Sus scrofa: one gene and its partners. The main gene of each other region encodes a partner of the protein of the gene in region 2 in a complex. Links are inferred from orthologs where the notes say so. Each region holds a gene or a part of one and is shown on either strand. Other genes may lie near its edges.

The links.
Region 1: SMARCA2 (region 2) and DPF1 share a complex: the UniProt entries of both Homo sapiens proteins name them as parts of the neuron-specific chromatin remodeling complex. The link is inferred for Sus scrofa from reciprocal best matches to the Homo sapiens genes SMARCA2 and DPF1.
Region 3: SMARCA2 (region 2) and PHF10 share a complex: the UniProt entries of both Homo sapiens proteins name them as parts of the neural progenitors-specific chromatin remodeling complex. The link is inferred for Sus scrofa from reciprocal best matches to the Homo sapiens genes SMARCA2 and PHF10.

The regions. Positions count from the first base shown.
Region 1 is NC_010448.4:47,142,069-47,149,469, forward strand, and holds part of DPF1 (zinc finger protein neuro-d4), read right to left. Parts: intron 7,153-7,401; coding exon 6,992-7,152; intron 6,907-6,991; coding exon 6,799-6,906; intron 5,427-6,798; coding exon 5,299-5,426; intron 5,013-5,298; coding exon 4,923-5,012; intron 4,548-4,922; coding exon 4,469-4,547; intron 4,267-4,468; coding exon 4,135-4,266; intron 3,267-4,134; coding exon 3,216-3,266; intron 3,123-3,215; coding exon 3,003-3,122; intron 1,949-3,002; coding exon 1,836-1,948; intron 1,315-1,835; coding exon 1,203-1,314; intron 1,055-1,202; coding exon 984-1,054; 3' UTR 1-983. UniProt on the Homo sapiens protein: May have an important role in developing neurons by participating in regulation of cell survival, possibly as a neurospecific transcription factor. Belongs to the neuron-specific chromatin remodeling complex (nBAF complex).
Region 2 is NC_010443.5:219,809,927-219,818,397, forward strand, and holds the start of SMARCA2 (probable global transcription activator SNF2L2), read right to left. Parts: upstream 5,496-8,471; 5' UTR 5,358-5,495; intron 4,717-5,357; exon of another isoform or gene 4,559-4,716; intron 3,886-4,558; exon of another isoform or gene 3,584-3,885; intron 3,452-3,583; exon of another isoform or gene 2,995-3,451; intron 1-2,994. UniProt on the Homo sapiens protein: ATPase involved in transcriptional activation and repression of select genes by chromatin remodeling (alteration of DNA-nucleosome topology).
Region 3 is NC_010443.5:565,109-572,922, reverse strand, and holds part of PHF10 (PHD finger protein 10), read right to left. Parts: intron 7,730-7,814; coding exon 7,596-7,729; intron 7,507-7,595; coding exon 7,357-7,506; intron 6,860-7,356; coding exon 6,750-6,859; intron 5,225-6,749; coding exon 5,071-5,224; intron 2,443-5,070; coding exon 2,287-2,442; intron 1-2,286. UniProt on the Homo sapiens protein: Involved in transcription activity regulation by chromatin remodeling. Belongs to the neural progenitors-specific chromatin remodeling complex (npBAF complex) and is required for the proliferation of neural progenitors.

The DNA of each region.
Region 1 (7,401 bases), on a different chromosome or scaffold from region 2:
ATAAAGGAGACTCGTTTACAAGGAGGGGGCACGCCTGGATTGGAGGAGACCCCCCCAAACCCATCACCTCCCCCACTTGCAGTCTCATTTTCCCTTTTTTTTAAAACCCAAACAACAAACACAACCACAAGAAACAACCACGCCCCCTCGAGACCCCGAAAATGGCCAGCGAGGGTGGCAGGGGGCGGCCCGGCCTGGCCGGTAGGGAATTGGGGCGGGGAAAAATCTAGTCCTTTGCAGAGTCTGTGCTTCTCGTTCCAGCAGGCGCTGGGCAGGGGCCCGCCTTGCCCCACCGGCGGCCAGCCATGGCAGCACGGAGTGGGCACGGGCCGGGCTCTGGGGAGGGAGCGGGAACAGAGCTCAAAACCATGGTTCACATCATGCAGTATCCACGGTGGGCACCAAGGGGGTGGGGGGCCAACACCACACCACCTGCCCTGCGTACAAGGAGGGAATGGTGCCCACCTTGGGTGGGGAGGTGGGACAGCTGCAGTGCCGCAGACTGGGAGGGAGGGGCCGCCAGGCAGGAAGCTGGCATAGACTGGTGCCCAGGAGATGCGCTCGGCAACCCCCCTCCACCCAGCCAGGCCTTATAGGACTCTTTGTATATATTAATTTCTTTTTTTTTTTTAACTTTTTGACTTTTTCTTTAGAAAAAGGCTATGTCCGTGCCCCCAGCTGGCATCCACCACCCCTCGTGCCCGCCCAGAGGCGGGGTATGGCTTTGAGGGGAGCAGAAGCCCCTGGTGCCCATTTGCCAAGGGGTGGGGAAGGAGGGAGGAAGGAGAGGGCCCAGCTGGGCCCACCAACCCACAGGGCAAGCATTCCACTTGCACGGAGGGGAGGGGGTGGCCCCGCCCCCCTCAGGCTCGCCCGCCCCTCCCGCTGTGGGGCATTAAGGATGGGGAGAGAGTGGAGGAGCTCCGGGAGGAGACTCAGGTAGGCAAGCACCACCCCAGAGGTCCAGGTGAGCCAGAGCAGGCCTAGGTGAGGGTGATGTAGGCAGAGGCCTTCTCTTTCAGGTGCCGAAGACAGAGGTGACAACTCCAGCTCCCTGTAGGGTGGCCCGAGGACAGGGAGTAAGACCTGGGTCTGGGCACGGCTGCCCCCACCCCCGCCCACCACCGGCGGGCACCATCTTCCCCAGCAGGAAGTCCACCTGCCAACCCTCCCCCACCCCCCCAGGCCTCCTCTTCGCTCACCTTCTGGGGGCTCCGCCATGGGGGGACTCAGGCAGTACATGTGGTAACCCCGATCACAGTCGTCACAAAACAGCAGCTGGTCCTGGGGGGTGAGACCCGCCCAGCTGGCACCCTGGGGGCACGGGTACCAGAAACCGGGGTGGGGGGGCTGGGGCAGGGGACAGGTCAAAGGGGCTGGGGGAGGTGGTCCCTTCCAGGACAGAGGGCTCTGAGGAGGTCATCTTGGCAAAACCCTGTGAGTGAAACGCCCCTGAGGACTGTCAGTTTGCGGTTTGTCGTTTGGGTTTTCTAAGGTTCTATGGCACACTGAAAATGACACTGGGGCGGTCAGAAGCAATGGATGCGGTGTCAGGTCCCAGCTGTGCCATCTTCTTAGCCGGGTGACCTTGGGCAAGTCTGCTCCCCTCTCTGAGCTCCCTCCCTCTACCTCAGGGTGGTTGGGAGGAGTCGGAGAGTGAAGAGTAGTAAGTGCCAGGCTCAACTAATGGACACTAACTAATAATCATGGTACAGGTTACTGGGTTCACCAGGGAGGGGGCTTCAGGAAAGGCTTTAGACCCAACTGGCAAAGCCGGAGGTGCTGGAGGGAGGCGGCTCCGGGGGCGTGTCCCGGGGAGGGGGGTGGGCACTCACGTCGTTCTCGGAGGTGCCACACAGGCTGCAGGACTTGCACTCGATGCACTGCCAACGGTAGGTTCGCACGGCCGCCGTCATGTTCACCGTGAACTGTAAACACGAGGGGTGTCCTGGGGGCCGAGGGGCAGAGATGCGGTTAGGGGTCGTTGTGCCCCTGGTGGCTACTGACCCCTGGAAGTGAAATGGCTCAGCCCCTACCCCTGGCTCACAAGGCCCACAGGCTGACCCCACCCAGCCCCGGTGCCCAGTGCCCGTCCCTCAGGCAGTGCTGCCGTGGCCACCAGTCTCCTACCCAGCCACCATGGCAACCACACTCTGCTCCCCAGAACACCATGGCAACCGCATTCCATTACCCACAGTGCTGTGGCAACCCCTTTCCACCACCCACAACACCGGGGCAGCCACATTCTGTTAACCACTGCGCTGAGCAGCTGCATTCCATTACCCACAGCAGGATGGCCAGCCCGCCCTGTGAACCGCGGGCACGTGGCAACCCCAGCCTCCCAGCCACGATGCCATGGCAACCGCCTTCCACAGAGGGGTCTCCACGCTCTGGTTCCCTGCGACCCAAGCCCATTACACATGATGCCCCAACCACCACACCGTTACCCACGTGACTATGCAGTGGGCCAACCCCCTGGCCATCCCCCCACCCCCGTGCAGACACCCAGCCGCTACCCGGGGCCACGACAACTACCTTCCACTACACCCAATTGTCACAACTGTATTTCACTGCCCGTAATACCATAACAACCACGATTCATTGGCCACCGTGCTGAGGCAACCGCAGGCTACTGCCCACAGGTCCACCTCGGGAAACCGCTTTCTATTAACCACACCTCGGTGGCAAGCGCTCTCAGTCATCCACAACACCCAGGCAGTGGTAATCCATGACTTGCTATCGCAGCCCGCTCCCCACGAGGTTCTGGCCACCCTCTTTTACTGCTCCCCACGCCATGGTAAGCAGGTAGCAGTACTCGCAACGCCAGAACCACCACAGCCCCTTATTCCCAGAGCCTCCCCGAACCCACTGTTTCCCGTCATGCTCAGCAGTGATCCTCGGGGTCCCCCAGATGCTCTGCATCCCCCCCAGTCCTCACTCCTCCACCTCCTAGCCTCCAGATCTGGACCCTGGCCCCCAGAAGCCTCAGGTGGGGGCATCACCTGATCGCCCACAGTCGGCACAGGAGATGAGGTCCTCGGGACACCCCGTCTTCTTGGAGCCACCCAGGCAGAAGTCACAGTAGCCGTTGGGGATGACAGTGCCGTCAGGTGCCTTCTTGGCTGAAAGACAGCGGGCAGGGCTTGGCGTGGGCAAGGCAGGGGCATTCGGTCAAAGGCTGCTGCAAAAGTCGGGGCGGGGGGAAGCGTCCCTACCTGTGTGTTTCCTCTGTGCCTCGGGGACCCAGGCCAATTCTTTGTAAAACTCTGGGGGTGGGGGGGACAGAGAGAGGGGCTCTCACCATAGGCAAGGCTCCACCCTGCCCCCAGCCTCAGCCCCAGGGGCGGAGCCCTTGTCCAGGCATGGAGGGGGAGGGGAGAGGGAGTGGCTACCCCAAGCTGTGAACAAATAATTCTCATCAGGACCCCCCAACTCTTTGAGCACAACTGCTGCATCCTCTTTATTAGGTAAAAGCCTGGCAGATACAGCTTTAGGAAGAGCCCCCCACTTCCCCACGCACACACACTTCTACCAGACAGCCACCCCCAACAAAGCCCCAAAATAAAAATTAGGCAGATCCCACTGGCCAAGATCTCATATGGAAACAGGCATTTCAGGAGGAAAATTCTGCACACAGAGGTGGCTGGGTGTGTAGTGGGGATGAGATGAAGAGAGTGCCCTCTCCCGCCAAGGGATGGGTGGGAAGATGGTTTCTCCACTGGCACAGCCTCCCTGCTCCAAGCCTTCCCCCATCCCTCAGCTGTCAGGGTTGGCACCGGACTGGCATGGGCAGCCACCAAGAGTTCCCGGGCCACAGACCCTGCCCCTTGGCCCAGGCTTAGCAGAGAACGGAGAAAGGGAGGCAGGGACGGAGGGGAGTCATCTATCACCCCCCTCCCCAAGCTCTAATTGAAACAATAAATCAGACCCAGAAATATTACGCCCGGCCGGGAGCGAGGGAGAGATGGTTGGTTGTCATGGCAACCCCAGAGCCAGCATCCCCATGGTCGGTGGGGGGAGGGGACCGCTGAGCTGGGGCTTTTCCAGAAATGTCTAACGTGCCCCCTCCCTCCCGGGCTGCTAGCCCCCACTCGCAGGGCCCCTCACCACCCCACGCCCTGCCCGCCTGCTCACGTTTATGGTTGTTTTTCCGGTGGAAGGGCAGGGCGTGGCGTTCGGCGTTCTCCTCCCCCTCCTCCTCAGCCAGGTGGGTGTGGGTGTAGTGGTAGCTGAGCCCTGGCCGGTTCTTATACCGTTTCCCACAGACTGAAGAGTGAGCAGGGAGGGCCGGTCAGCCCCCTCCCAGCCCATGCCGCCTCCACCCTGGCCTCCGGGATCACATCTCCTCCCTCTGCCAGAGGCCTGTGCATCCCCCCCCACCAGGGTCCAGAACAGGAGGGAGGGGGCTGGGAGGGGCCAGGTCTCTGGGCCCCACTCTCTCTCTTCCCCCCTCTTCAGAAGGACTCACTATCACAGACATACGGCTTGTCTCGGTCCTCCAGGGAAGCGGTGTCCTGGCGTTTCCGGAGACCTCCGATGCCATATGCCTGGGGAAGAGTCTGGAGTGAGGGGCCAAGAAAAGGAGCAAACTAAAAGAATTTTCCTCATTTGGGCCGGAAATGCAAATCACAGCTCTGCCGCTACCTAACTGTGGGCCTTGAGTAACTCCCTTGACCTCGATCAGTCGTACAGGTATGAGGATAGTTCTAACCCACTGGGCAGTCTATATTTTGCAAATGGTTTCATAGATCCACGCCTCAATTTCCTCATCTGCAAAATGGGTATAAAAATCCCCTACCCCTTGAGGCTGCTCTGGGGATTAAATGAGATCAGACTGGGGCAGGGTCTGAACATTGTGCAGCCTCAATAAATGGGATCCGCGTTGAGGGGAGGGGTGAGGAGCAGAAACTTTGGGGTGATACCTTTCCTTTGGCCCTGTTCTTCCTCCTGGGAATGTCATCCTCCAAGTCTTCCACTTCGAGATCGTGTGGAAACTCCAGCAGCTGCTGTTTCTGGGCATCAGGAGAAGGGAGATTGGGGTTAAGAAAACGGGACACTGTTCTGCTTTGGGGGGATGGTTCTGCATAGAGGAGATTGGGGGTGGCAGGGCAAGTCAGAAGGTCTCCCAAAAAGAGATGAGGTGTGGAAGGATGGAGACTTAGGATGCCTGAAGGACCTAGGGAGCCAGTGGAGATCTCAGAGCAGGAATGGGATGGGCCGGGGCAGGAGGCAGGGGTGAGAAGGCAGCTGCGGCCACCGGGGTGGGGGCGCCGCCGGGGTGGGAGTTGGGGGGGCTACCTGACAGTCCATAATGGTCTCCTCCTCCTTCAGCTCTATCTTCTTCTCCCCCGTCTCAGCACACAGTAGAGCCTCAAGGACTGGTCCTTCCGGGAGACCACCCTCCTTCTTCAAGGGCGCCTCACAGTCTGGGGATGAGGCCATGGGGGTGGGGGTGGGGTCAAGTGGAGAGGTTGTCCCCAGAGGACTCCTCACACTGCCCAGGCTGGGGAGTCATGCTCTTTGCTGGTGGGAAGAGGCTTCCCACACTCCACTGGCAATAGACTCAGAGACTCAACCACATGCACTGGAAAGGGGACTGGACCCTGGGGAAGACACAGCCAGACCCTCAGAGCCGCTTGGGCACACTCAGCAGGAGATGTGGCCAGACCCTCTGATATACCTACATACGTATAGGAGACTCCACCCAGACCCCTACACCTGGAGAGAACAGACACCCAAACAGGACCCACGGGGACACACGCAAGGGAGCTCCACATGGATCATCTGCGACAGCCAGCCCCACAAGGGAAGAGACACACCCTGATGCTCAGATACACCTGGACCCATGGAGGAAAATATCCAGACCCTTGGGTCCACCCAGAGACACTCAGAAAGGGACCATTAGACCATCAGATATGCCCAGACCCACAAGAGGAAGACACAGCCAGACCCTAGCAAACACCTGAACATTCTTAGGGGAAACAGAGACACACCTAGAGAGAGTCACCAGGGTGGATACACACACATAGGACATAGAGACAGTCCCTCTGGGGCAGTCAGACACCGCCAGATAGACACTCCAATACACCTGGCCCCACACAGAACCCTGGATCTACTTGGACAAGGAAAGAGAAACAGCCAGTGATCTAATAGTAGGGGACACAGTCAAGAAGTGCTAAGGCCAGAGACTCAGGAGGCAGGCAGCCCATGTACACCTAGTGGATCAGATACTTGGGGAAGAGCTTCTCCCAGACCTTCCAAAGCATCTGGCACTGAAAGGAAGAGACAGTTGGACACCCTGATACACTGACTCTCAGGAACAGTTGGACCCTCAAACCAGACACACGCAAGAGGAAATAAACCTTCTAATACACTTAGAAACACCTGAAAAGAGACACAAATACTGAGATACACTCTACTACAAATGGACAGTTACGACCAAACACTCTCACACATCCAGACACATTCAGACATCCACAGAAAGAAATACAGCCCACAAGGAAGAGATACAAAGACTGGATACACCTGCACACACATGACAGATACCACTCTGTCCTAGAATAGGCTGGGGCCCAGTCAGGAGAAAGTACAGTCCAAAGTTCAGTCACTCAGGGAGAACCGGGGAAGCTCTGGACTACAGCCAGACACACACTGGCAGACACACAGCCAGCCACTCAGACACTTTGGGAGGGGAATAGAGGTGAACGCTCAGACAACATCAGCATCAGCACACACTTAGCAAGCGTGCTGTGGGCACTGATGGGAGCCACCCCGAGCACAGGACGAAGCTCCACCCACCGATCTTGTACTCGCAGGGCCGGAGTCTGGGGTCCTCCAGGATGTTGAGTCTCCGTTTCTTTCTCCAACAGCGGGCGGGGTACGTATAGATCTGCCCCGGGGCCAAACCTGGCGTGAGAAAGGCGGTAAGAACAAGGCCGCGCAGCCACCGCCCCGCCCCGCCCCGCCCCGCCCCCGCCCTCCCGGTGGGTACCCGGCCCGCGGTGGGTCTTCTCCATCCAGATGTAGCAGTTGTTCTGGGCCACGCCGGTCTGCGAGTCGAGGAAGGGCAGGCGCAGGCTGCGCTCGGCGCACAGACGCGCGTTGTAGCTGCGGCAGTGCTCGATGGCCTCCCGGTAGAAGTCCTCGCCTAGGCTGCGAGGGGCGGGTGAGCGGGCGGGCAGCTGTCAGCAAGGGCAGCCCACCAGGTCGCCCAGCACCCCTCCCCCACCCGCTCGTAGGGAATGGGTGGGCGGACTCCTCCAACCTCCCCTCTCCCCTCCTGTGGCTCCTGGACCCAGGAGCCCCCCAGCTGGGATTCAAGCAGGTCCCCAGCCAAGGAGTGGATACAAACACACACAATATAGAAACAGACAAAAATACACTGGGACCCATCCATACAGG
Region 2 (8,471 bases):
GTATTACATGTCTTGCTAAAGTGTAATTATTCAAGTATCTTTGATTGTATCTTTAAAACTTGTAATACTTAAAATCTCTAATATATCTAAACACTTTCAAGGAAAAGCGCTATATTAATATGAAAAAAGTAATAATAAACAGTAATACATTTGTAAAGTTCTCCAAACCCAGGTTGCAGGAACCCATTTAACTTGGTGATAAATATCTTAGGCAAATAAATATTCTATCTTCCATAATGACTCTGGCAGAACTAAGTTTTAGTCTCCTATCCTCCATGGTTAATATAAAGTCAGGACTTTTTTAAGTAGAAAAAATAAACATCCCAGGCCTCCCTAAATATTCTACCAAATAACTTAACAACCATCTATATTTTCTATTCCCAACTACTTCTGGAATGATCCATGACTTTATTAACTGACTAGAGATTCAAGTTCCATAAACAAACCCTTCCAAAGATGACAGAAAATTCAGTCTCCTCTGTTGTTCAAAAATAATCTTCAGAACATATTTAAGAAAAAGGAGCAATTGAAATGATCATTTTTTAACAGAAAAGAGTGACAAGAAAAAAAAATCAGAAGTTGCTCCTCAAAATGGCTTTTAACATTAGGGAAACTTTCTCATCTATTCACCAAAAAATACTGCAAAAGAAGAAACGTGACTCATTTATACAGAGTTTTCTAATGCCATTCATGTTAAGCAATGAATTGTCCACGATTTCCCTTAAAATCATCATAACCACAAATAGTGAAAATCAAAACTTCTGGTGGCTAAATCAGGTTCTACCAACACAGTCTCAATACATAGTTCTGGGAAGCACTCCTTGGTATTATATTTGTGATAATTCAGTTGTTCTCATGGCACCATGTCAAGATGTCTTAAATAGTGATTTATTATTTCTCTAGAGTATCAAAAAGCTGCTGACCTAGGAGAGTTTGACAAAGGCCTTGTTTACAAAGGAAGATTTCTAAAAGAAAAAAAAAAACATGAAAACACTGGGGAATGGCAGCTTTTATAATAAATGAGTCTTCTCTTTTATGGTCTTGTTGCAATACATAATAAGCCTTTAAAATGAAATGTCAAAATATTACCGTAATATAAGGGGTATATTACAATTATCTCTAGAAAAGCATGGGATGTGCTTTTATGCTCATCTGTAAAATAACTTATCTTAATCAAAGAAAAAAGTTTTAAACAATTATTTGTCAGAGTGTTACTTTCTCTACTGTCAGAAATAGCTTAAACAGAATCCAAACATTAACAGGCACAGAGGCACTTACTTTTTTTTTTTTTTTTTCTGGTCAATTCCAAGCCTCAGGTGTTGGTCAAAGCACTTTTTAAGAAACTTGACAAGAAATGCTCAAAAACCACTTTAAAAAAAAACGAACAAAAGAAAAGATCTAAGGCTGCTTTGAACACACTCTTGCGGTGAATATTTTCTGTGAAACACCACAGTGCAGCTAGTCCCAAAGCTGGGATGTAACTGGTGTCACTCAGGAGAGAAAAGCTGCATTGAAGGGAGCATTTCCTCACTTCTGCCAATTCTTTAAGGGTTCTGATACCACAAACTCCTAATTTATTTCACAATGTTCTTCAAGATGGGTTTTCTCTCTAAGGCCCCCAACAAGGAAGAGAGGAGGCTGTCTACAGGTTGGTTTTTTCCTTCAAGTCACATCAATAAATACCTTTTGTACCTTATGGGTATTTCCAAATCCTCTCTTTCTGGTAGCAAGTATTTGAGCTGTCAGGGAGCATTAAAAAAAAAAAAGTCCAAGAGAATAAAAGGGCAATTAGATTCCTAAAAGAGAAAGTGTGCCTCTATTTGCATAACAATGCACTGAGGAGGATTCAAACCTGACACACCTCTTAACATTTCACCAGTGTGCTAGAAATAGGCTTAGAAGTCTACCAAGTGGAGTGTTGGCAAACAAGCCTGGGGTAGTGGTCCCCCCTATAAGTGAGGGGAAATATTACTGAAACATTTCAATGTGCACATATAAGAATACACAAGCAACTGCTAGGCATGGTTTCTATTTTAGGACAGCTCTCAGAGATTTCTGAGTCTTACCTAGATGATGAGACAGGAATTTTCTTCCACTCAACATGCAACAATCTTTCTGTCCCTATGAGCATTCTCTTCCTACAAGCATGGCACAGCCAGGTGTAAATTAAAAAGTCCTTTGAAATGGAAGTTTAAAATTTAACTCTGCTATTGGTAATGCAGAGACAGTAAAAAAATAAAAAATAAAAAAATAAGCACTCAATGCAGTAGACAAACGTGTATCCTTGAAGTCTTTCTTATGCTCTAACATCACACACAGTTAGGAACACAATCTACAAAATAACCAGGAGATACCGATGACACCTCTCCATAAAATACTCACCCAGGTGGCTTTGCTTTAGCACAAGCACTAACCTCCATCAGGTGAAGGGGGGTGGAGGCGACAACCTTGCAAAACTCTCCCAGAAGTTATATAAACAAAGAAGGGAAGAAGCCCAGTATGGGCTTTGCACCCATGTGCTACTAAAATTACATAACACCCGCTGCAGACATTAAAGAAGGCATGGATTCTGCACGACACCCCCACTTCCCTCGACCCCCCAACCTGTCTCCTGCTTTTAAAAAATCCCAAAGCCTGGCAGGATCAAGTGGGCGATTTTGAATATTAATTTTATTCCTGGAGTAAATCCTGCGAGAGTTGCAAGCGCGTTTAGGCCCGAAGTTTGAATGTGCAACAGCCCCAGGGCGCCGCGAATCTACTCTGGACCGGGAGGAGAAAGGACTGACAAGGGACAGCAGCCAGTGCGGCCTTTTTCTTCCCCTTGTTGTACCTCCCGCTGAAAAGTTTTCCAAGCGATCGATCTGAGGGCAGGGACTGGGTTTCCCCAGCCTGCCTGACTTTGCAGGAAAGGCGAGCCGGGAGACTGGAGGGGGCCGCCGGGAAAGAGGTGGAAAGCTCCACACTCGGCCGGCGGCGGCGGCGCAGGCTCCTTACCTGGGGGACGCGGAACAAAAAGAGGCACTGGGCTCTGCGAGCCTACAGAGGCGGCGCGGCCGGCGGCCCGGAGCGGGTCTCCCCGCCGGATTCCTAGGCCCGCGCCGGAGCCCGCCGCCCGGCCCCCGCCGCCACTGCCGCTGCCGCTTCCTCCCTCGCGCGCGTCATGTCACGGCGATCAAACATGTCTGTGTGCGCTTCGCTGCTGTGACTTCCTGATTCTCTGCCGCTCGCCCGCGCACACTCACACTCACAGCCACACGCACACGCCACCCCCACCATCCCCCGCCACCAAACCTCGCCTTGTCCTCCTCCGCTCCCGGGCAGGGCGCGGGCAGGAGCGGCTGCCCGCGCCACTGCTCCCAACGCACTAGCCCCGGCGCGCACAACACACACTCACACTCACGCGCAGACACACTCGAGCCGACCCCGAGCGGAGACGCGAGCTGTGGGAGCTCGCTGCTCCCTCCCACCCTCCCTCCCTACTTAGCCTCCCTGCCAAACTTTTTTTTCCAGCTTGATCCACGTCCAACTTCCCTCCACCCCGCCACCCCCACCCCCCTAGCAGTCCGGCCAGCCCCGCGCTCACCAGGATCCGCTGCAAACTGCAACCCGGATAAAAATAATAATGCAATCCAGGCGGCAGGGGCGGGGGCGAGCGCGCAGACATAGGCAGGAGGCTATTTCCCCGCGTGTACCGGAAACCGACCCGAGTGCCGGGAGTCAGACGCTGGTGTCCCTCTTAAGCCCGCACTGTTGCACCCCGCCCCGCGCGGTGCAACTGCGCCAGGCTGCAAGGCCTGCTGCGGGGCACCCGGGGCGCCCTGCTTGGTGTGCGCCCGCAGACGGAGGGCGAGTAGGGGCTGGCGCGCAGGACTGGTTATTTGGGGAAGTGCATCGCGACACCTTTGCAGATGGCATGGCCGTGTTTTGCAACGCAAACAGAAGGAGGGAAGACGGCCAGATGGAGGGGGAGAGCGGAGGAAGGGGTAAACCAGGTTGGGATGGGAATAAATCAAACTCGAAAGCAAGGAAGGAGAAGGAAGGGGAGCGTGTCATCATTGGGAGGAGGCTCCCACCCGGTCTCCCCGCCTCCCGCCCTCGCCAGCCACCCTATCCACCCCCCACCCCTCAGCCCTTCCCCTTCTCAGGCGAATGCCACCGCCGCTGCCGGGTGCGCGCGGGTCCTGTTTGTGACAGTCAGGCAGAGAGGATTATCCGGATCATGGCCTCCCCGGCCCGCAGTCACCGTGGCTCTCCCCGGCCCCAGCGCGCCCCTAGCACCCGGATGATCACCCGCGACCCACGCCCTCGGTTCCCGCGGCTCAAGCTAGGGGAAGGCGCAAAGCAAAAGAAAACAAACCCGGGAAGGGAGAGGGCGGATAACTGAGCCCGGCGGGCACCTCCGACCTCCTTCTATCCGGCCTCTTCCCTCCCAGCAGTGCGGCCCCGGCCGGACACCCGAACTTCAACACCCGAGCCCGCGCGGCCGCCAGGTACCAGGACGTCCGTAGTGCCCCAGACACAGCCCCCCAGCAGCCCTTTTGCCTAAAGGCCTGCCTACCGGTCAGCGTCCCCATCCCCGCCCGAGGGAACGCGCAAAGTGGAGGTGACACCTCAGATCCCGCACGCACCGGCCCCGCGGCGTTGACTGCCGCCGCTTTGGCGCGCCAGCTCCGGCTTCTCCCGCCGCGATCCTCTCGCGTCTCCGCAGCCGGAGCCCTTTAAACAAGTCCCCAGGAAGCGGGTGTCAGCCGCGTTCGTTGGATCCCCGCCGGCAGCCCGGGCTTCTCGCCCTCCTCTCCTGCTCTCCTTCCAACTCTTCCGGGGAGGACTGCTCTGGAAGAACTGTCGCGTTTCCATCCTATTCCCCCGATCCTCCTGCCTCCTCCCTCACCACCCCAGCTTTTAAGGGAATGGAGGGATTGCAACCTTGCCGAGTGTATGTGTGTGCTACAACCTTGAGTTGGCAGTGCATCGCTGACTGCCTACCTAGGGTCAAGGCTGTGTTTTGGTGGGATTTTCCTCCCCTTGCCTCCTTTAAGTAATAATTATTACTGTTATTATCAGAACAGTAAGGTTCGGTTGAAACTTTCCCGTTCCTTCCACCGCTGCCCGGGAGCTGTTGTTAGAGCATTCCACCTGAGGCCCGCGGGGAGGAGGCGGGCTTTTTTTGTTGTTGTTGTGGCGGTTGGCCCGCCTGTTTGTTTTGGTCTCCGTGCATGCACAATAAATAATAATTAGGATAATAATGAACGATCCCCGGCGAAGGCGGCGCGGTGCCTGAGGGGTTTATGCGGCGTCTGCAGCCGGGAGGCCAGAGGGAGGGGAAAGAGGAGAAAGGAGTTGTAAGTTATATTTACCTTGCTCGCGAGGAGTGTGCTGGCTGAATCTCTTTCCTCTCTGAGTCACCCAGAGTACAGAAACCGAGGGAGAGAGGACTAGATTATGAATATGACTTCATTGATGACAGCCATCCCCTCCTCTTCCTAAACTCCGGCTCCGCCCCGTGTCCCACCCTCGCCGCCTCCTTGGGCGCCGGAAGACGCGCCGCTGTTGGCCCCTCGCGCCGCTCCTCCCTGCCCGCCCGGACGCGGGTTGGCGGGACGCGTCTGTCACTCGCCCCGCTCAGCGACTCCCTGAGCTCGGGGGGTGGGGGGGGAGCGGAGGGGGCGGTGTGCAAGAATGTGGATCGAGACAGCTCTACTGTATGCGTGGATCCGTGTGGGTTTGCAAGGCGCCGGCTCTGAGCTGTGTTTGCGCCTGAGCAGAGAAACTGCGCAGGATGCGGAAAGCCCAGAGCCTTGACGGAGTTGGGCGCCCGTTATCCCATGCTGACAGTCTTCTCCCAGGGCCGCTGCGAGGCTCCTCCCGGGACGCTGGGAAGGGGAGGAGGCAGCGAAAGGGAGGGCAGCCGTAGTAATAGCTCGTAGTAGTTTGGGGGTATGTAAAGAAGGTGCTGGAATTTAACTGCGCCTCCGCCTGCCTGAGCGAGCCTGCAGAGGGAAGGGGAGGGGGCGACAGGGTGGGGTGGGCGGGCGGTTCCGAGTGGCACCAAAGCTGCTTGTGGCAAGGTATTGGCCATTTAAAAAAAAAAAAAAAAGAGGCATCGATGTCCCGCACGAAACTTTTTCTCTTGCCCCCCCGCCACAAGGCTGTAATTATAAATCTGTTCCCTTTCTCTCCCGTAAAAAGGAAGGCGGGCACAAAGAACATTCCTGCCAAAACTGTCTTTTTTTTCTAAAGGACTGCTAGCTTCCAAACGCCAAAAAGGGAAAAACAGCTGAGAGGCTGAATGCCTTGTAAATAAATAACACCGCCCTAACCCCTCTGTTTACTTTGTGGACCAGACACAGCACTTTAACCTTTCCTCACCTGTCATCTTCGCGTAAAATATATACAAAAATAGGTGAAAACAACCTCGTGGGGGCAGGGCGGGCGAGTTAGGGGGCAGTTGAAGCATGGAATCTGCTTTTGATTTAAGAAGGGGAATAAATCTCTTTTTCTCTCCAGTCCATAGTCTCTTGGCCTCCAGGCCACGTTTAAGACCAGTTAAGCCTACAAACAGTAAACTGCTGGCACTTAGTAGTTTTGAGACCTCTTGCTCCAGTTTTCCTTGAAATACAGTACTTTGGCTGGACTAACAGGTCAGTGTTTGCTGAGACGATTTTATTTTTAGTTTTATGAAGTGTGAAAGAATGTTAGGAGATTTTAAATCAAGGACCTATTATTTTAGACTCAGATTAATGTAGGCGCTTGACTCTTAAATTAAAACTGTTCCTATATGGTAGTGTTATGATTTATCCCTTATTTTGTAATGTAATGGCTTAAATTAGTCATTCAAAGTACACTGTGACTATCTGGTTGAGAGTTTTCCCCCCAGAGTAAAATCCTGTTTTAAGACCATTTTAGTGTTGCAAAATTGACTATTTGAGCTATGGGTCTGAAATACAGTTCTAGGATGCTTAAAACTATGTACTGGCTAAGTTGAGGACAAGAAGCTGTGGATAGAACACCAGCTGCAATGTGCTACGTGTGGTCATTAAATGTCAAGAATTGTTTCTGTTGCTGGTCCATTGCTGTAGAAGGAGTCTGCAAGGGCACCATTTTCAAGTGGCAAGGAGTGTCAAGGATCATGAACCCTGTAGTCTTCTAAGGCTTTGCTACTTGCTTGTTAACTTGAGCTTCATAATTTTCTGTCTCTCCCAAAGTGAACCTCAGGACAACAAAAGATAACCCATCTAAGAGAAATAGAATATAGTATTCCCTGAAGAATCTATTGTAAGAACTTGTTTTTCTGCCTGAGGATATGCCAGTATAACTCTTAACCAGGCAAGACATCTTAAACAAAATTTGCAATGTAGTAAAACTACAACAGCCAACTGCTAATAAATTGCAACTAATAATATAGCCAGATAACCCAATCATCTATAAAATGGTTTTAACCTAATGGTGACAGAGCTTAATACATTAGGTAATATAAGCTTTTCATTTGGGCAGGATGGAAGGGGGTGTGGCTTATCTGTTTCCCTGGCAAGCCAGCCTCACATGCCAATTTTTCAGAAATTGATGACTTCATCTTTATTTCCTTGTGAATAAGTGCCCTTTATCCCATTAAGAATCCACCTTCACCTGCCATGCCAAATTTCAAAATGAGAACAATCATCTGAGCAAGAGACTGGCCATTTCTTTTGGCATTTTGTCAGAAGGAAAGTAAAGAAGAAAACGCTCCCTTTGTTACATGTGTACATTCTTCAGTTCATATAAAATTTTGATGCAGTACTTGGAGGGATTGGTATCTATGCATTATCTGCACAAATATGGGAATAGAAAAATAAAATCTATCACTGGAAGAAGACATTAAATATAGATATTGCATCTCCCTTTCCCTTCATGTTGGTCTAAGGAAGCACCACCATCTCCCTTCAGGTCTTTCCTCCAAGGAATCTTGTTGTTTGTAGCTTGCACTGAAGCAAGTAGGAATTCTATAAGATAAGGCTTATGCTCAGGAGAAATGGAAAGGCAGTGCCATTCACTCAATATGAAGAGAAGATTGAGAAGACTGTAGAATGTATAGCGTGAACTTCATCTCCTAGGGAAAGCAAAATTTAACAATGATTTTAAGGAGGAACATGATGAGTTTCTTTTGTTTTGCAGAAAATCACACAAAAGCAAATAGAATAGGAGGCTAAACAGACTCCAGGGAGGTGCACAGGATGCTATATACACATGAAGCTTTTCCTTTTGGACTCTGTTGAGTCATAAGGTGTTCTCTGAACTTTTCTTTTCTCCTTCTAGTTTGACCTCAAGAAAGAGAAGTCATTTTTTTTCATGTCTGTATGACCACATTCAATTTGTTACGTAAGCCTGCCGTGTTTGATGTCCTGTATAGAGTAGATTTGGGGTTTGAAAACTGACAGCTAGCTCAACACCCTCATAAAGAAAAATTCCATGCACAACAAGGTCAGGAAGCTCCT
Region 3 (7,814 bases), about 220 Mb from region 2:
TAATGTTTTGTTAAACCACTTAAAAATGTTCTTACCCAACAGTCTTCATCTTGAACAGAGGGAGAGATGGGGGGCGGAGCAGGGAGGGACAGGGCGGGAGACGAGACAGACAGACAGAGCTTTGCAGCATTCGCTTCGAGATGCCACAGCTCGATGTAAAAAATACTTTGTTCATTCAAGCCCTCCGAGCTCCTTAAGAAGCCGCACGGCCACATCCAGGCCCGTGCAGCGGAGACCAGTGGCTGGCTGGGAAGCTGGACTCCGGGTGCCAAGCCCCCCGGAGGCTAATGGGACAGAAGCCAACGTGCGTCTGACAGAGACAGTGTGACTTGGTAGCAACGTCGAAGTTTCACTACTGACAAGACAATTAAAATACTCTCCCTAAGAGTTCTCAGCGTCTCAAATAAAAGGCTCACAACACACTTATCTTCCTGCTTGAAAAACAACCAAAGATGGTGAGACTTTCACGGGAGCACTAGTACAGATTTTAATTACATACTTATAATGTAAGCCTGAATCCTAACAACTAGGCTTTAATTTCAGGTTAATGTAACCTAAACGATACTGTCCTACAAATTAAGGGCAAAAGCACTAGTGAATCTTACTAAGCAAGACATCAGATACATTACAGGTTTTCTTAACTCCCGTATTTTAAAAGACATTTATGTATGACCCTCAGCTTGAAGTACCCTAATATCTAGGCACATCTTGGCTTATTAATACTTTTCATAAAGAGGTTAACTTTTAATAAACATGTTCACATTAATGTATTAAGCTAGATACTGGTTGTTCCAAACTTTGAAATACATGAAACATTTTTAGGTACTAAAAATGTTCAGAGAAGATTATAAACTGTGCACTTTGCATATCAGACTCCCTTGAGTATATCAAATTAGGTTAAGCTATATGATTTCTTTACCTTAAATCAGTGACAGCATTGACTAGTTCTTCACTTTCAGCCTCCGTGAAGTCGTCTATTGCAAAACCCTTTTTTTTAACCCATGATTAATCCAGGCTTCCTGTCGGAAAGGTCTGCTCGGCGCCAACAGTGTGCTTCTGGCTGCAACTCCCATTCTCGGCGCTTCTCGGGCCAGAAGCACACCTAGCACACAGCAGGCTCACTTTCCGGTGTTTAATCTTTGGAGTGCATTTGCTTTTAATTACGAAGCAGTAGCTTAAATATTTATCTTAAAAATTAGATAAGCTGTATCTGTAAGAACAAGAATGAAAACTACATGACTGAAGCCCTGAAGGTGCCCTTATTGCTGCAATGGGCTGAAACACACGTCTCGGAAGCGGACCCCGGGGAGGCCTTTTCTAGGGAAGTTCGGAGCCCGCCGACCGAAGCTGCCCTTTCGCTCCGGGGAGAGCAAGGGGCCAGGCTGCTGGAAGGGCCCGTGGCCGCTGAACCTGCTCCCCCAGATGACACACCAGAGTCCCCATCTGACACACTCAGGGCTCCAGCAACTCCACTCGGCGAAACGAGTTCATCGCCTTACTCTAAAACGCGCCTTCAAAACACCTCCATAACCAGCCGAGAGTTCATGCTGATACGCAGCCCACGGAAAACTGTGTGTTTTCCTACTGCCGCTGCAGCTGCCGCTCCTCCTTCTCCAATATTCTAAAGCCCCCCTTGCGAATAAGGCGACTCCCTCCCCGCGGCCCTCTGCGGGCAGGATGACACTGCTGCCGCCCGCCACCCGACTCCGAGGACAGCCAGCCCTAAACGCTCACGAGAACATCGGAGCACATCACCGAGCAGCCCAGGCGGGGTCCCGACGGGCCACATGCCCAGCTTGGGCTAAAACAGCACAATGCCCACAGCACTTCCACTGCTCTGCAGCGCAAGGGTGGCTGCATTTGGCAGACGAGCAAATGATCCTTAGACTAAGCCCAGATCTTTCTTCCCGGCCGGCCACAGACAGGCCGCTGGTCGGGGGCTCCCCACCCGCCACCTGCTCAGCTTCGCTAAATACCAGGGTGCTTTCAACTCAGACGGCTACGACTTTCACCCCAAGGCAACAAAGCTTCAGGTTCTGCCTGTTAGATAACTTCTCAAAAGCTCAGACCTGCCTGGTCACCATTTAAAAGAAAAAAAGATTCGCTCACAAATTGTCCACGTACAGAAAAGAGACGCTCAACCCCAGCCCAAGTGATAGGAAAGCCACCAGGCACACAAAGCGAGAAGGAAGGAGGCTGAGGGCCGGGCGCAGGACGCTCGGCGCGGAGCCGTCAGGGGGACAGGCTGGCCAGCAGGGAGGCGGGGTCGGGGCTTTTTTCTTCTACCTTGTACCCGGGCGCAGCCTTGCTCGGCGCGGAGCGCTTCGCGGCGTCTTTTCTCGGCGCGGCCGCCTTGTCCCTGGGCCTCTGCCGTCCCTGTGCCGGCTCCTCCTGGCCGTCGGGGAGGCCCTCGCCCTCGGACACGTTGCCCGAGGAGCTGTCCTGCAAGTCAGAGGCACAGACAAAGGTCCCTTGCACACCTGCTGGTCCCGGTCTCCACTGCGGACACCACAGAGGACACTGGGCTTCCGTCGATTAAAAGATAAAAGGATAATTCTAACCGAAGAAAACGTTCGCCAGCGGAGACTAAAACGAGTCCAGTTAAACACCACTGTCCTCGGAGCAATACGTCATAGCATAAAGCGAAGTCTATGCACACCCGCAGGTGCCTTATTCGACTTTGTTTTCGGGAGTTCCCGTCGGGGCGCAGCGGAAACGAATCTGACTGCGAACCCGATGAGGTTGCGGGTTCGATCCCGGCCTCGCTCAGTGGGTGGAGGATCTGGGGCCGTCATGAGCTGTGGTGTAGGTGGCAGACGTGGCTTGGATCTGGAGCTGCTGTGGCTGTGGTGGAGGCCGGCGGCTGCAGCTCTGATTCCACCCCTAGCCTGGGAACCTCCGTGTGCCGCGGGTGCGGCCCTAAAAAGACGGGAAAAACTCTTTGTTTTCAGACTTGAGTCACCAGGAACAGAACTACCTGCTCCAGCTGCTGCCACGCCACCCAGCTGCACAGCAGGGCACATGTTCGTTTCACACACGGTCTTTAAAAAGAAACTAAGAAACTGCCCCACGGACGTGCAGGTGTTTTTACCAAGTAATGGAGGTCCCGAAAGAAGTCCTTCAAGCCCACAAGGGCGTCTTGGTAACGTTAAACTCCGCGGGGGCCGGTGTCACCAAGTATTTACAACAGTATCAGACGTACTTCACGTGTTCAGAGTTTCGGAGTTGGATGATTGATCATTTAACTCTTCATTTCTTAATTTAACATTCCCTTTTTTTTTTTTTTAGGGCTGCACCTGAGGCCTATGGAAGTTCCCAGGCCAGGGGTCTGATCGGAGCTACAGCTGCCGGCCTCCACCACAGCCACGCCAGATCCTTAACCCACTCAGCGAGGCCAGGGATTGAACCCTCGACCTCACGGTTCCCAGGTTCCCAGTCGGATTCGTTTCCACTGCACCATGACGGAAACTCCTTAACTTAAAATCTTCTAAGTAGAATAAAAATGTTATGTTCATATAAATTATGAAGATTATAAATGAAAACGTCAGGTTATCCGCAGGCGGCTTGGGAGACACTGAGACAGCTCACAGGATGCATGTGTCGCCTTTTCCTTTTCCAGTGACGTGCTTGTTCACACAGCTACCCACGTTCACACTCACACACACGACCTACCTCCATGCGTGCCCTCTTCTTTTAAAGCACAGAAGTGAATTACCCTGTATGTGTGGGCATGTGTGTGTGTGTTTCAACCCTAAGTGTTATGTGCACTTCCTCACACCATTAGACACTCTTTGAACTGCACTTCTACTGTGTAACAGACGTTAGACTTCCAATTCCCACTACAGAAACTACTGTTAACACTCCAATGAATATTTTTTCCTAATTAAACTTTGTTACCATCTGATCAGATTCTTCAAATAAAATCCATTCGCCTATTTGCCAAGTCAAGGTCTGCGGAAGTTAAAAATCTTGGTAGGGACCGGGAAAACGCCTGGCCCCAAACTGGCTTGGCAGCTCTTCTCCTAGCGGTATGGGAGGAAGCCACCGCGTCTCACCCTCAGGACACCCCGGCTCCCCTGAGCCAAACAGCAGAAGACGGGCTCTCACCGCTTTGACAGCGGAGGCGCAGGTTACGTTACGCAACAGGTACCGTTAAACACGCCCAGAAGCTGGCCGTTAGGAGGAAACTCAGTGCCCAGAAACGGTGGCACATTCTCAGGTTCAGGTTGGCTGCAGAGAAAGTGGGAAATGGACAGATGCAGAATTCCCTGGTGGCCAGCAGGTTAAGGACCCAGCGTTGTCACTGCTGTGGCTTGGGTTCGACCCCTGGCCTGGGAACTTCCGCATGCTGCAGCCGAGCTAAAAAAAAACAAAACCCAGAGTTCCCATCATGGCTCCGTGGGTTATGAACCCAACTAGCATCTGTGAGGATTCAGGTTCGATCCCTGGCCTTGCTCAGTGGGTTAAGGATCCGGTGTTGCTGTGGCTGTGGTGTAGGGCGCAGATGCAGCTCGGACTCCACCCCTAGCCCGGGAACTTCCACGAGCCGAAGTGGGGCCTGAAAAGAAAGGGAAAACAAAACACAACCCTGAACGACCGCGTTTGTTCTCCTTCCTTCCGTCCCACCTGGCACACCGGCATCCCCACTGTTCTGCAGCTGCACTTGCCACAAAAAGAAACTCATGCAAGACACCCAACAGCACAAAACGCTGGTAACCTTAACATTTTCCCAGAAGAGGCCAGTGACGGTTGCTGAAGCAGCAGGAACACCGCTCACGTGCTCCCCCAACCCGCACATCAGTACGGGGCTGTTAAGTGTCTGGGCCCTGCCCAACCCACTGGTGAAGACCACGGAGGGGCAGCTTTCAGGACAAAACCCGCCAAAGGCCACGCACCGCTGGCCCGTATCAACCCATAACAGTAACTTCCCCTGATGGAAGACGCTTTCTGGAAATCATACACAGCGATCCTTTTTCACAACAAGCGTGGTGATGCTATTTCAGCTTGCCATTCCAGGAAAGCCAAATTCAAAGGGAAGGAAGCACCTCCTCCTGAGAGACACGTTCTTACCGAAGTGCCTTTGTCCTTCCGTCTCTCATCGGCCCGACCATCCTCGGCTTCATCTGAGTCACCGTCACTATCGAGAGCCGGCAGCTCAGGATCCAGCGGGGGCTCGTAAAGCGCTGTGTTTAATGGCAAATAGCGCAGCTCATCCGGAGAGTACCTGAAATTCAAAGGACTTTGTTTTCCTTTATTATTCAAAACGTGTGGACCGATTTTGAACGACGAAAATAACCTTCATCTTTTCAATTAACCCCAAATGTTTTTGAAAAATGACTGGAGGAAATAAACGTTTCATTTTGGTTATCACATTGGACAAGTCATACATAAAGTCAAAATGTTTTCCACCCGACTAAGTAAGGCAGACATTTGACTGCTGTTGCCCGAAGCGAACGCGTCTCTCCTTCACCCATGGCCCTTCAAAGACATCAGCAAACCAGGACCGACGGCGACGGCGACAGCGACAGCACGGAACGGGCACAAAACCCAGGCTGCCCGAGGGCCTCTGCCCGGTCGACCTGCAGAGCGAAGAGGGGCGTGAACCGCTCGGGCACCTGCACAGCACAGCAGCGCGTGGTGCGTGCTGGCATTTAAGAGGCAAGATCCTCTGACGAATCACTGTAAACCAATTTATGAGGCATGTATTCTCACGAATTCAACCATCTATTTTATCTGAAACTAGGGACCAGCAGCCCCTCCCCAAGCTGGCGGGCACAGGGCCGCTGCCCATGTCCGTGCCACCCCCATAGGACCAGCGCTCCGTCTCAGGCCAGGAGGCAGCATCCTGGGAACCCCCGTCAGGAACGGACACCGGGTCAGCATCTCCCTCAACCAAGACACCCCAGACGGCAAAGACGCTGGTCCATGGACGCGTCGCTCCATCATTTACACAGCCCCCAAAGATTCAAAATCGGCTAACCCATGGAGCTCCCAACCAGTACCCATGAGGATCTGAGTCTGATCCCTGGCCTCGCTCAGTGGGTGAAGGATCGGCACTGCCGTGAGCCATGGTGCGGGTCGAAGACGCAGCTCAGATCCTGTGTTGCTGTGGCTGTGGTGGAGGCCGGCAGCTGCAGCTCCGATTAGACTCCTAGCCTGGGACCCTCCACATGCTGCAGGTACAGCTCTAGAAAGCAAGACAAAGTGCTGGCCCATGATTTAAATCCGACTTTCAAAAAGCACTATCCTAGAGTCTACTTTCAATACTTGTCGAAAGAATATTCTCCATCCCAAAGAACATAAGGTTTCTCATGCAGCAAAAGCTGGGGTGCCGGAAGCCCTGTTTTCGGTTCCATCCAGGCTGGGAGGGAGGGACGGGGAGCGGAGGCAGCAGCCAGGCCAGGGCAGTGACGCAGCAGGAGCCCCAGGTGGCCACCCTCCTCGCTCGCGTCCGCATCTGGGAAGGCCTGGGCTGTGCCCGGCAGTCCGCCTTCCCACTAAGCTCCCAGGTGACACAGGCGCTGCGGGGCCAGGGGGCCATCCTTTCAGGTGGGAGGTCTAGAGAAGCCCTGGCACCTGCCCACAGACACACCCCCAGGCAGGCAGGTGTTCCGGTTCTGACACAGGCACTCCTCTCCACAGAGGCACAAGCGGAAGCTCCCGACGCACGTCCCACCCCACCCGAGTGGCAAACACAGGGCTTCGCAGCCCCCGGCAACTCCCAGGGCAGGGCCGCCACCACCGCCTACCTTTTGTAATATTCCTGGAACTGTCCGGGGATGAGGGCCACCGGGTAGGAACTGACCTTGGTCCGCTCCGTCGGTAACACCCTGTACTGCCCTTGAGGCACCTGGATGACCTGTGAACGTGAAGAGAAGGGCGAGCCTGATGCCACGCAAGGAACCAAAGCCTCGCGAAAATAATCCGCTGCCTCCCTCCCCCAAAAGCTAGACACAGGGCCACACGGGGCTGGAGCCTGAGGGCGGGGCACGCCCAGTGGCACCGGTGACCCGTCTGCTCACCAGGGAACGGCAGGGTGACCTGCTACCCTAGACCTCAGCCTGCAACGTCCTCATCTAGGAAAAGAACCACTGCTCCTTCCAGCCTCCCGGGGGGACAGGGACGCTGGCGTCCACCCACGGACACGCGCGTGGCCAGCTGGCTCCTAGTCTCCTTCAGGAGACTGTCCACCGAACGCCAGAGGCACCCCCCCACCACGGGGGCACCGGGGACAACGGGCGCCTGCAAGTGACAGCCCGAGCCCCAGGGAGCAGGACGCCCCGCGGGCACAAAAGCGCCGCGCGAGGCGCTGAGCCGTCCACACAGCGGGCGGGCGGCCGGCCGAGCGGGGCCTACGTGCGTCTGCAGGTCGAAGTACGCTCTTCTCTCCTCCATCCGCTCCCGGTTCAGGTGGCTGTTGAACTCTGCGGCCTTCCTGGCAGCTTTCTTAATGTACTCGGGCACTTTGCTGGCTTCAACTTTCTGAGTGTTCTGTTGTTGCATTTGCTGAAATAAAAACACGACAGTGCAAGGGACTGTACCCTTATAACCTGGCACTTCCCCAAACCGCAGGCACCGGCCCCCTCAACACCTACCGAATACTCCTTGTAATGATCCGTAATCCGCTGGCGTTCTTTTTCTTGTAGAATAACAGAATATTCAGCGTGTTTGGCTGGATATTCTTTTATCATTAAATCAATTACTTCATCACTGCGCAGTGCTGTTAAACCTATTTCAGACCCAAAAAAAAAAGGTGAAGAAGCCCTTTGAAGGCAAAGTGAACACAGCTTTCAAAATATTCTTTTCCTTCAAAC